Linked DNA regions of Rattus norvegicus. Each later gene encodes a partner of the first gene's protein in a complex. Links are inferred from orthologs where the notes say so. Each region holds a gene or a part of one and is shown in the gene's direction. Other genes may lie near its edges.

Evidence for each region. The genes of interacting proteins can lie anywhere in the genome.
Region 2: Capzb (region 1) and Capza3 share a complex: the UniProt entries of both Homo sapiens proteins name them as parts of the WASH complex. The link is inferred for Rattus norvegicus from reciprocal best matches to the Homo sapiens genes CAPZB and CAPZA3.

The regions. Positions count from the first base shown.
Region 1 is NC_086023.1:156,716,137-156,722,615, forward strand, and holds the start of Capzb (F-actin-capping protein subunit beta), read left to right. Parts: upstream 1-2,866; coding exon 2,867-2,869; intron 2,870-2,925; exon of another isoform or gene 2,926-3,963; coding exon of another isoform or gene 3,964-4,056; intron 4,057-6,479. UniProt on the Homo sapiens protein: F-actin-capping proteins bind in a Ca(2+)-independent manner to the fast growing ends of actin filaments (barbed end) thereby blocking the exchange of subunits at these ends.
Region 2 is NC_086022.1:174,658,215-174,663,368, forward strand, and holds Capza3 (F-actin-capping protein subunit alpha-3), read left to right. Parts: upstream 1-2,231; 5' UTR 2,232-2,334; coding exon 2,335-3,234; 3' UTR 3,235-3,445; downstream 3,446-5,154. Other genes in the region: Plcz1 (1-phosphatidylinositol 4,5-bisphosphate phosphodiesterase zeta-1), read right to left, coding at 358-481, 1,286-1,317. UniProt on the Homo sapiens protein: F-actin-capping proteins bind in a Ca(2+)-independent manner to the fast growing ends of actin filaments (barbed end) thereby blocking the exchange of subunits at these ends.

The DNA.
Region 1 (6,479 bases):
AGAAATCTACATCAAGGTCTTATACTACCTTATTGTTTTGATGCTATTAATCCCTGGCTGACCTTGAACTTATAGACAGATCTGTCTACCTCCACCTCCTCGGTTCTGGGATTAAAAGTGCATGTCATCTATGATAAGGTACTTCTCCGCTGGTGAAATGAGTCAATCCAAGTCAGATTAAAGTAGTCATAAATACAGGTTTATTGGGAAACTACTCTTGGGCGGGCACATTCACTGGCCCAAGAAACAAGGCCAGGGAAGGTGCTCTGGGGAGGGAGATTGGGGAGGGAGAAGAGGGAGAAAGAGTGCACACAGGGAGAGAAGAGAGAAGGAAAGGGGGAGGGGAGACCAAAATGTCTGGATTATATAGGGAAGAGCTTCTGGGCTGGAAAGTTCAGGGTAGAGGGCAGGATATGACAGATAGGGACTGAGGGATGCTGGGAGAACCTGAAGGCCAGGCCTGCTTTGGTATGTAAAATATGCACCTCAGCGCCTTGTCCTGAGTCTAAAACCCAGTATCTTACACCTCGATCCACCTTACTTTTCTGACACAGCGTCTCTCACTGTATTTGTTTTCTCTCTCTACAGTCCTGGCTCTCCTGTAGCTTGCTATGTAGAGTAGGCTGGCCTTGAACTCCCAGAGATCCTCCTGTCTCTGCCTTCCGAGTGCTGAGATTATAGGCATATGCCACCAAAGGCCTTCTCACTGGATCTGAAGTTTGCCATTTGGCTAGGCTGGCTGGTTACCAAGCCCAAGATCCTCCTGTCTTTCACACAGCATCAGGAATTACAAGTAGTGCACATGTGAGCCTGGCTTTCCCATGCTGTCGATCCGAAATGTCCTTATGCAAGTAGTTAGCACTTTACCCACAGTGCACCTCTCTAGCCCCAATATGAGTGCTTTAAAAACATTCCTGTGCGCATATAGGTGTTTTCTGTCTGTTTACATGCAGGAATGCCTGTGTGTGGAAACCAGAGGGTGACCTCAGGTATTGTTCCTCTGACATCGAAATAACTGTCTGGGACACACAAATAGCTCTCTGAGGCTCTCCCTCGACACCTTGTCATCCAGCACACAGCAGGCTCACTGCAGTGTGGGGACCCGGGTCAGAGCTTGTTGCTGTCCACACAGAATTCAGGCTGGCCTCAGTGGCTTCTGTGGAAACACAGGGATCTCTGCTGTCACTGTCCTGTGTGCTGACTGACGATAGACACACGGTCTGCTCCACACCCACCTTCAGCTGTCTGATCAAACATTACTTCCTGAGTTAAAGCCCGCTTGAACCATGCTCCAAATTCTCTCCACACAGTGCTTGTCTGTCTACCTGCTCTATCCACTCTGGTTTTCCACATCTCAGCCCCAACACGTTACTAGAAAGGTTAACTGTCTCCAGCCAGGTTTCAAGCTCGAAGAGGCCCTAACTCAAGGGCAGAGGTGCTTACCCAGCATGCAGAAGGCTCTCTCTATTCCTGGAAGTGAAATCTCACCCACAAGCTCTATGCCAGCATGGGCTATTTTGCTCATAGCTGTAATCTCTACAGGCTGCCTACATAGTGCTTGGCCAATAGCTACACAATAAATACTTCCGGCATAATGACTTTCTAAGCGCCACTCCCTTCTCTGAACTCCTGTAATTCCAGTCTGTGTCATTCTTGAGGGACTTACCTGGATGCTTTCTCTGCTGGTGGCTGTCCCTGCAAGCTTTCACTTGACTATGATCATGCTCAGAGGCCTTGGGCACAGTTTGCCTCAGATGAAGTTCTATGACCCCTTCTCATGACCTGATATGACTCTAAACGGGGGTGGGGGGAGCAAGCTGTATAGGGGATTATTATAAGCAAAATGTGCAACTCTAGGTCTCTTGAGTTCCTTCAGATAACAAAACAAAATTTACTCTTTTGAACAGCCAATTTTTGGTTGGGGCTGCGATTCAATGGAAGAGCATTAGCCTAGTATGCCTGAGACTCTATGTTCAATCTTCAGACCTGAAAACAAAGGGATTTCTGAGTCACTATATGGTTCGAGAGAGCGACTCATTAGGGAAGAGGGCTGATTCTCTGCAGATGATGTAAAAAAAAAAAAAGTATATGGAACAGCCAGCATTTATTGAATCCAAATGTTCTAATCATTTTACCCCCTTGCCTTCCTACAACTACTCTGGTAGCTATGAAGTGCGGGCAGGAGATCCTTATGGCTTATCCACCTGTCATCTTTTGGTACCTAAAGGCAGCCCGCCTGGTCGTGATAGCTGGTGTTCAGCAACAGGGGCGGCTGAGCCAGGTCCCCCTGCAGGTTCTCCTCGCTCTTTGGGGGCCGGGCCTCGTCCAGTGCGCCAGTTCCGGGTCCGGGTGGGGCGAGGAGGGCCGGTCCCTTCCTAGTTTCAGCGCCTTCCGCATCCTCTGCTCAGGGGAACCAGTGAACCGCTCCACCCTCAGCTACCCCGCGGCCTGCAGCTGCAAGAAGCGAGGCTGACAGTCAGAGGAGAGACACAAGCAGCCGCTGTGCCCCCGGAACACCGCAGCCCTGGTCGCGCAGGACCGTTGCGCCTGGCCCGCCCCTCCCTCTACAGGACACGCCCACCCGACCGCAGGGTCCGCCCCCGTCCCCGCCTCCCGCGCGGCGCTCCATACTTGGCGATCGCTGCGGCCCCGCACGCTCATTGGTCGCGAGCTGGCGGCTGGGGGGCGGGCCGGGATGGCCGGGGCGGGGAGGAAGGTGGTGGCTGCCCGGCGCGGGGGGGAGGGGGAGGGGGGCGCTGACCCGGATGTTCACTCTTGGGCACCCGGGGAAGTGGAAGCGCCGGGCCCTGCTGCGGGGGGGAGAGCCACAGACGCCGGGACTGGGACCGTCGCCGCCGCCGCCACCATGGTAAAGAGACCCCCTCATGGCTCTATCCCGGGACCCCCTCACTGCGGGAGCTTGCGTCCACTCTCTCGCCGACCCGCCGGCCCGGGGAGGGTGGGGATCCGGGGTGGGGGAGGGGCGGGGTCCGGGACCTTAGGCAGACGCCACTCTTCGGGTCCTGAGTGGGCGGCGGGAGGTCCTTATAGCTTATGACCTCGCCTTGGGCTCCATGTGAAGCCGAGTTCTTCCCCCGCATGTCCAGACTAGTCTCGCTTATCCCAGGCTAGACCTTCCTTCCCTCCAAGCACCCTTCTCGCAGGCCTTCATCCCATGGGCTGAACTTGGGCCCCTGCCTCGGTCCCAGGGCCCAAGCTAGGACCGTGGTTTTCACTCCTGTGGCCCAGTCTAGGCCCCTTTCCCCAAACTCTTCTCTCCATGGCCCCAGCCTGCGCCTCGACGATCCCTTTCCAGTGAACTCAGCCTAGGTTTGTTTCCTCCACCCTGATGGACTCTCCTCTCCGTGGTCCTCAAGTCTGCCCTCTCTATTCCGACTGTGTTCCCCTCCTGCACCTCCCTACCCCCAGCTCCCCCCCACCCCCGGCCCTAGCGGTCCCCTTCCCCCGACTTCTCACGACTTAAACCTAGCCTGCGTCAGCCCTGCGCTGCTCTTACCCTCACCCTCCCATCTAGACCCTGCTTGCTCGGTGTCCTGCTCCTAACCCAGGTGTCCCCTCCCCTGTTCCTAGGAGGCTCTTCCTTGGCAGCCTCTGGTGAGCGGGGGAGAGCCCCAACCAGGGTGGGGGTAGTCCGGGTGCTGTGCCTTTCCTAGGCTTGCCCCTTTCTGGGGAGGCCGCTTAGGTTCGGTGTGAGTGAACAAGCGAGCAAGGGAGAGAAGGGCGGCATCTGTGTGCCCGGAAGGCAGAGCAGGGCATTTCCCTTGGGAGGCCCTAGAGCAGCTAATACAGCGCGTATTTAGGGGTGCCCTGCCTGAGTCGGGGAGCAGAGTGCTGACGGTGGGTAAGCCAAGTGGACAGGGGTGAACTCACAATCGCTCTTGTGAGGCCACAGCCTTGGGGCTGGGGGACACCAAGCTCAGCAGCCCATCCTTCAGCCTGGACATGATGCATCCTAGCAGGCGCAGCCTTCCTTTCCCCCTGAACTGTCAGCTTGTAAGGGTTGGAACTGCTGATTATGGAGGTGCCGCTGATCAGGTGAGCGGCCCGAGAACTACCTCACTCTACTCATGGTGTTTGTTTTGGTAATGAAGTCAGGCCTCTATGCTCATAACTTATTTGAGGAGCCCTAGGTGTGTCGTTCCCCCCCTCCCCCATATCCCTGCACCCCCTAATCCATCTGGATACCTGCAGAGCAGGCCCACCTTCTAGGTGGAAGGGCCAGAGAGCTACCTCACGTGGTCAAGGAAGCCTTGTAAGGTAGACTGAGAGGGAAGGCCATCCACCTGCTTCATGCAGAACATCACAGCCTTGCGGAGGGCTCCCCTCCAGTAGGAGTGGATTTTGGACCCTAGATGGTTTTGAGGAGCCCTGTTCCTTGTTTAATTCAGGGTGCAGCCATTGAGTTGGGGGTGACTAAATCTGATTGGCTAATAAACTTTCTATATATCGATTTAAAAGCATAGGCAAAGACTGTTTTTCATACTGTTGCTCTTGGCTGAAAACTGGCCTGGGAGTCTGAAACCCTGATCTTAGTCTGCACGGGGAAGGACTTGTCCAGGACAGTTTTGGGTGAGATTCTTCAAAGTAGACTGAAGTTTTCTATGTGTGCCCCCAGCACGGAAATAGGAGAGGGTGCCAGGAGAGGGTGACCAGATGGGACTTAGTCCCCCAGAGTCCTCTAGGCCTTTGCTTTCTCCGTTTGACAGGGTAAAGAAAAGCTGGAGCATTCATTGTAACTGACTCAAAATGTTGTTCAGTCTGTGCGAGACTCTTGGGCAGTGAAAGCATGCCCAGCAAGCAGCCTCCAGGCAGCCATCTTCCTTGTATGCTGTGTATATCTGATATAATGACACTCTGCAAGAACCATAATGACGGGATGCTTGGGCACGGCCGCGGAGGGCAAGCACTCATCCCTGCAAACTGTGGGTGGATCCCCTGTTAGGAGACCGCCATTGGGAGACAGTAGTATAGCCTGTGCACCTGATCCCGGCTCTCTGGGGACAGAGATTGTGGCCTTGTGTTTTCTGTCCCTGTCTATCTGGTCCTAGAACAGTGCCTAGCTCTGAGCCATTTGACTGGGGAGGCTGGGCCTGGCGCCACATACCTGTAATCTCAGCTGTTTAAGGCATTCAAGGCCATCTCGGGCAACACTGAGAGTGAGACCCTGTTTCAGTGAAAACCAGGAGATTGCTTGGTGTGATCTGGGATGTGTCTATGAGCGCAGCCACTCGGAGGTTGACACTCCTTCTCATGAACTTGTTTTTCAAGTATCCTAGTCCCCTGAGTGGTTTCTGACTGCCTTATAGTCAGGTTCATACTATGCTAGAACAGTCCGATGCCTTGGTGTGGGTAGTTTGGACAAACCAGAAGTGGTGGAATGGGGCTGCATCGTAGATAATGAAGACAACCATGGGTTGGTTTGCAGCGGGCTTGGTGGTAGAGCAAGTGGCTAGCCAGCTCCAGGGTGCCCACTGAGGGGAGAGACTTTAAATGCATTTGACTTGGAGTGGAGTCCACGGTTGTTCTTGGAGACAAGTCCACTGTCCCGATAAGAGTGCATAGGCAAATGGGGTTTATTTACATCCCCTCAGCAGGCAGTCTTACGACTGTCCCTAAGTGCTTTACAGTGTCAACGCACCACAGAGCTCTGGCTTCTGACTTTGAGGTTATTATTCTGAGCATTAAGATGCTGGTGCTCAGTGGTGGGGCTGGGACAGTGAGAGGCCAAGGAGGCTCCTTAGGACCTGTTGCTCACAGATGGCACTGATGACAAGAGCTGGTAGGAGAGGTCCTATTGTTAAAAGGGGAAATGGAGTAGACTGCAATGTATCTTGGTGGGCTCCTCCTGTGAATAAGATCCGGAGAGATGCTCAGGGGTTAAAGGTGACTGCTGCCAAGCTAGGGGAGCAGAGTTCAATTCCTAGAACCCATATGTAGAACCAAGTCTTCCTCTAACCAGCATACTCACAGAGTCCTGTCTCCCTTCCCCCAATAAGTAAATAAATAAGCAAACAGTATAACTTTAAACAACTTCCTGTGTAGTTGGACTTAGAGACCTTGTGTATGCTTGTTCTGTTCAAGTAAACGCAGCCAGTCTCCTTTTGATAAGTAGCCCGTGATTATTAGTTTAAGATTGGGAAAATGACAGACGTGCCTTTGAAGGTAGATCTATTTATAATTTGGAAGTGCTATACTGTTACATTCTATGGAGGAGGAGGGAGGACACAGGGCAAGGGCCCTGACAGCTCAGAGCCTTGCTTGCCAGAGCGGGAAGTGCTTATTGTAGAGCACTTACTAGGCACCGATCTGGAGCTGTAGGCATCACTGCTTAGATGTGTGCATCATGAGCTGCTGTGTGCTGAGGAGTAGCAGAGAGCAAGGCAGACACGATGTGGGCCTCTGGCTTCCACTGTTAGGGAGCCTACAACAGAGCTTGGAAAGTCAGGCAGTGTCACACT
Region 2 (5,154 bases), on another chromosome or scaffold:
ATTATTTCAAACTGTAACAGCCATTAGTTTATTCTGTTTTTTTTCTGCATGTATTTTCCAACACTGACTTAGGTTCATGTATCTGAGGGCATATGTGCGCCATGTACTTCAGGGAGCTGGAATAGGTCAGACCAGGCACTGGGTTCTTTAGAGCTAGAGTCACAGGCAGTTGTGAGGTACCAAGTGCATGCTGGGAACTACACACAGGGCCTCTATAAGAGGAGTCAGTGCTCCTAACCAGTGGGTCATCTCTCCGGCTCCATGTGTATTTTCTCAAGTACTGAAGTATCTACTAATGTCTACTTACACTGCCATAAACTATAGAGAGGAACAAGTGGGGAGAGGGTGTCATCTCACCTTAAAAATACGTTTCACATGAGCAAAATGGCATGGGAAATCAAGTTTCTCGAGCAGTTTGTGAGTAATTCCAGCGCTGATTTTTCCACCTCTAAAATAATCCTGAATCTTTGACATAAACCATGTACGAAGCACAGAGAGTTAAGGAAATTCTCAAAGTCACTCACTGAGGGATTTAAAAATCCTTAAAGAAATATTTTGTCCGTGGCCTTAATGGTTCATCTACCCTATGCTCAGACAGTTGTAAATAAATACTATTTATGATAAAGTATAGTTTAGCTTTTTCAACTACAGGAAAGGTGTGAGAGATATAAAAAGGCATAACCCAGTTAAAATACAGGATAGCATCTGTTTTTTAAAAAAATGGAGAAATAAAGTCAGCACTTGGGAAATTCATTATTCCATTATTATACACTATTTGTCTGAAAGTCTGATCCTGAGAGCTCATGGACTCCGAGATTCTCTCACCCACCTGACCTCTCTCATCAAGAAAGATGAGAAAATCAACACTTAATCTTACAGAAGTCAGAGCATTGGATACATTCATAAAACATTATTAAACATAGGTTACTGTGCGTTCAGTAGTGACTCTGACTGGTGTAATTACTATGCGAGTCAAATGTCCTACGGGTGATAGTTGCTCCAATTTCCGCTCAATCTTAAGTTGTTAAAACTAATGAGTAATTCTTAACCTTAATGGCTATGGCTCAATATGGAAAATGCATTTTTCTTATCATAACAAGAACAACGGTAAAATACAGTAGTCTAAGGAAACCCAGAAAGGCTTAGGACTGTGAAAACAAGCAGAAGGTTCATACTTAAATGGCAGACATGAGTTCAGGACTCTGTGAAAAGAGGGAGAGTCACATGAAGAGAAAGGAACAAAGCAAGGGGGGAAACAAGACAGAGAGACCTTCAGAATGGATATCTTGCTTCTGCGAGCTCATAATGGCTCTCCATGATTTCATGATCTGGGTCGCGTGTCCTCCCATAGAGGGCTCTTCGTCTAAGGTGTCACTTAATCTTAGAAGTAACTCTGCCTTTTTACGATAGTCATCAGCTGTTCTCACCGCTGCCTCCTTTCTAGGGAAAAGGCAGAGAACACACAGCCTGTTGCCTTTGCTCTTGCAGATCTGCCTGTGCTCAAAGCAGACACACATAACACAAAAAGAGGGCATGGGGAACATGAAAGATGTGGTCCCTGCCTAAAATACTTGACTGCTTATGTTCTGAGAGTTTCTAATCCCACATTTTCAATAAACTCTGTGTGTGTGTGTGTGTGTGTGTGTGTGTGTGTGTGTGTGTGTGTGTGTGTGCCCTTTTTGTAATGGTGCATTGAGGTCAGAGAACAATTTATAGGAGTCCTGTCTCTCCTATCATCATCTGGGTCCTGGGAACCAAACTATGGTTGTCAAGCTTGGTGATTTCTCAGCCTTCATAGTATCTTCATTTTATTTTGTTTCTAACCCTCAAGCCTTTCATCACAATGTTTACCCTGAAGGTGGGGCAGCTATTCTAAGGGCCTGAGTGGAGATCAGTACCATATGACAGTTGAAGAGACCACAGACTATCCAACGCTAAGTCAGTTCAAACCCCAGGCAACTTCTGCAGACTGCCAACAACACGTAACAGACACAGAAAAACACATACCGCTTATGAAGAAGACTTGTCCAGAAGCTAAGTTCTTAAAACCTTCACAGTTGCTATAGCTTCTTGGCTGAACCCCATACCGTCAGGTGACTATCATTTTCTTCTTTGGTTCTGAGCACTCAATTGTGACATCACTACAAGTTCCATGCTTCTCTGTGACTTCACCAGGATATGCAGAGCTTGACTGACTGCCCTTCTTCATGGTCCTACATACTGCTCTAAAGCTTGAATGATTAACACCTTGAATGGGCAAGATATCCCATGGATCCTCTTCTCACCCTGTGAACACCCTTCACTTCAGAAGCTTTGCTTCTCCTGAAACTAGACATGTCACTCAGCGTCTTAAGTAGGCAAGACAAAGAAAAGGTCATCCACAGACTCTTAATCCAGGCTCCTCCTGGGGAATTCGTGAATGCCTTTGATGATCTCTGTCTGCTTATCCGAGATGAGAAGCTCATGCACCACCAGGGTGAGTGCGCAGGTCATCAGCACTGCCAAAAATACTGTGTCCCACTCTGCATCGATGGCAATCCAGTCCTCTTGTCTCACCACAATGTGATGGGTGACTTCCGGTTCTTTGACTACCAGAGCAAACTTTCTTTCAGGTTTGACCTGCTCCAGAATCAGCTGAGAGACATCCAAAGCCACGGAATCATTCGGAATGAGACCGAGTACCTGAGATCTGTTGTTATGTGTGCCTTAAAACTCTACGTGAACGATCACTACCCAAACGGCAACTGCAACGTGCTGAGGAAAACAGTCAAAAACAAGGAGTTCTTAATAGCTTGCATTGAAGACCACAGCTATGACAATGGAGAGTGTTGGAATGGTCTTTGGAAGTCTAAGTGGATCTTCCAGGTAAACCCGTTTCTAACCCAAGTGACAGGAAGGATTTTTGTGCAAGCTCACTACTTCAGATGTGTCAACCTTCATGTTGAAGTCTCCAAGGACCTCAAGGAGAGCTTGGAGGTGGTCAACCAAGCCCAGTTGGCTCTCAGTTTCGCAAGGCTTGTGGAAGAACAAGAAAATAAGTTTCAAGCTGCTGTAATAGAAGAACTACAGGAGTTGTCTAATGAAGCCCTGAGGAAAATATTACGGAGGGATCTTCCAGTGACACGCACTTTGATTGACTGGCAACGGATCCTCTCTGACTTGAATCTGGTGATGTACCCCAAATTAGGATACGTTATTTACTCCAGGAGTGTGCTGTGCAACTGGATAATATAAAAGGTTGCTGCTCCACATTATCGTCTCAAGCCAAAGTGCTTTCTGGGAAGTCAGTGCTTAGATAGTGCTGAGAAGCTCTTGGACTAGTACTAAGCCTGTCTTTAGCCTATACCAGTTTGAAGAGGGGGAAGAACAAGAAATCATGTTATCCAGTCAGTATTCACCAACATGGCAAAAAGGGTAAAAATACATTTCATAATGTTAACTGTCACAACAAACTCAGAGGTTTTTATTAGAGCCTAAAATAATTCGAGAGTGGGGAGGTGGCCGTGATGGAGTCTACATGACTGCTGTGTTTGTGTGCCTGTGTGTAGTGGTGTGTGTGTTGGGGGGTTGTACTCTGTGTGTCTCTCTGCACCTGTATGCCTGCGTCTCTGCGTGTGTGTGAATTCAGTCTCTCTTTGGAACTGGGTAGGTGTGCACATCACTCTTCAAATGTTACTTCACTTTACTCTATTCAGTTTGAGAACAACCAGGATTGAATGAACCTTAATAAATGACATTGGGTTTGGATATTCTATGAAAACCAGCTAATACCAAATCTCTCAGTCATGGTACTAGAGAGGTGACGCAGTAGTTAAGAGCACTGGCTATCCAACCATAGGAGGTAGGTTTAATTCTCAGCACCCACACAGTCCCAGAGCTCACAGGGTTATAGAGAACACAGCACTGACTACACATACAAGCAAAACACTTAGACACATATAATAAAAATGAGGAGGATTAGTAAAATTGCTTCTACCTCCTTTCTGATCCCTCCTGTGCCCCTCCTAAGGAGGGTGTGGGATTGTGAATCTCTGGGCTTCTAGAATAGCAGGATCTAGAAACCCTGTGTAGCTGAGTCAATGTAAAGTCATCCCTACAAACCTGTGTAATGCTTGCTTCGTTGCAAACTTCATACTAATGTTTTACAAACAATACTTTATCATCTGCCTGGTTCTAGCATTATTCCCTTTGTACATTAAAAATATAAGAGGTCTCAAGTTGCTCAATCATCAAGACATAAAACATCTTGATGTGCTCAGGCTGCTACAGTAAAATACTGTGAAGTGTGTGTCTGGGAGATGGCATGTTGTAAAGTCCCCTGCTACCATTTCTAAACTTGAGCTCCATCAAGAACACACATGGTGGGAAAAAATCGACACCCACAAGTTGTCCTGTGACCCCCAGAAATCCCCCTGCCCCAAACTCCATTCACACAACATGAAATAAATAAAATAAAATAAACCAATATTACCATTAAATGAGTAGCTGATACTAAAACATTAGCGCTCACCAGTCTGACCCTGGAACATCCAAGACCGAGATGCAAGCTGAGACAATATTTGCTTCCCCATGGGCAATGTTCCTTTTTACACAGCACACCTTGAAAGTAAGCAAAGCAGTTCTCCAGAATCTCTTTTATAAGTTTGCTACTCCCGCTCATAAAAGCTATACACTCATGACCCCCTGGAGACCTCTGAGGCCACCAGCTTAGGGACAACATTTCAGATTAGCATGTACAGTGGCTGCTGCAGATGATTAAAGGACATACTCTATACACCATCTATCTGGATGATTTGAAGATGGGATGAGATGATCCCATCATATGGCAAAGGGCCAGTTTTAAATACTTAGTTTTCAACTGATGCCACTATTTGGGGGAGTTTCTGGAAACTTCTAGAGATTTGGGCCTAGTCAGAAGGAGCAAGTACCAGAGACATGAGACATGCTTTTAAAGGTTAAAACTGTCATCTAGTTCCTTTTTGTTTGATGTCTACACGAAGTGACAGTCCCCTCTCGCAAATCATGAGATCTGTCCAAACACCAACAGCCCCATGATCAGAGACTGAGCTCTCTGAAGTCATGGACTAAGGGATCCCCTTCCTATGCTGTGTTGTTTCTGCCTGACATTTGCTCACAGCAGAGAAAACCAAGTTG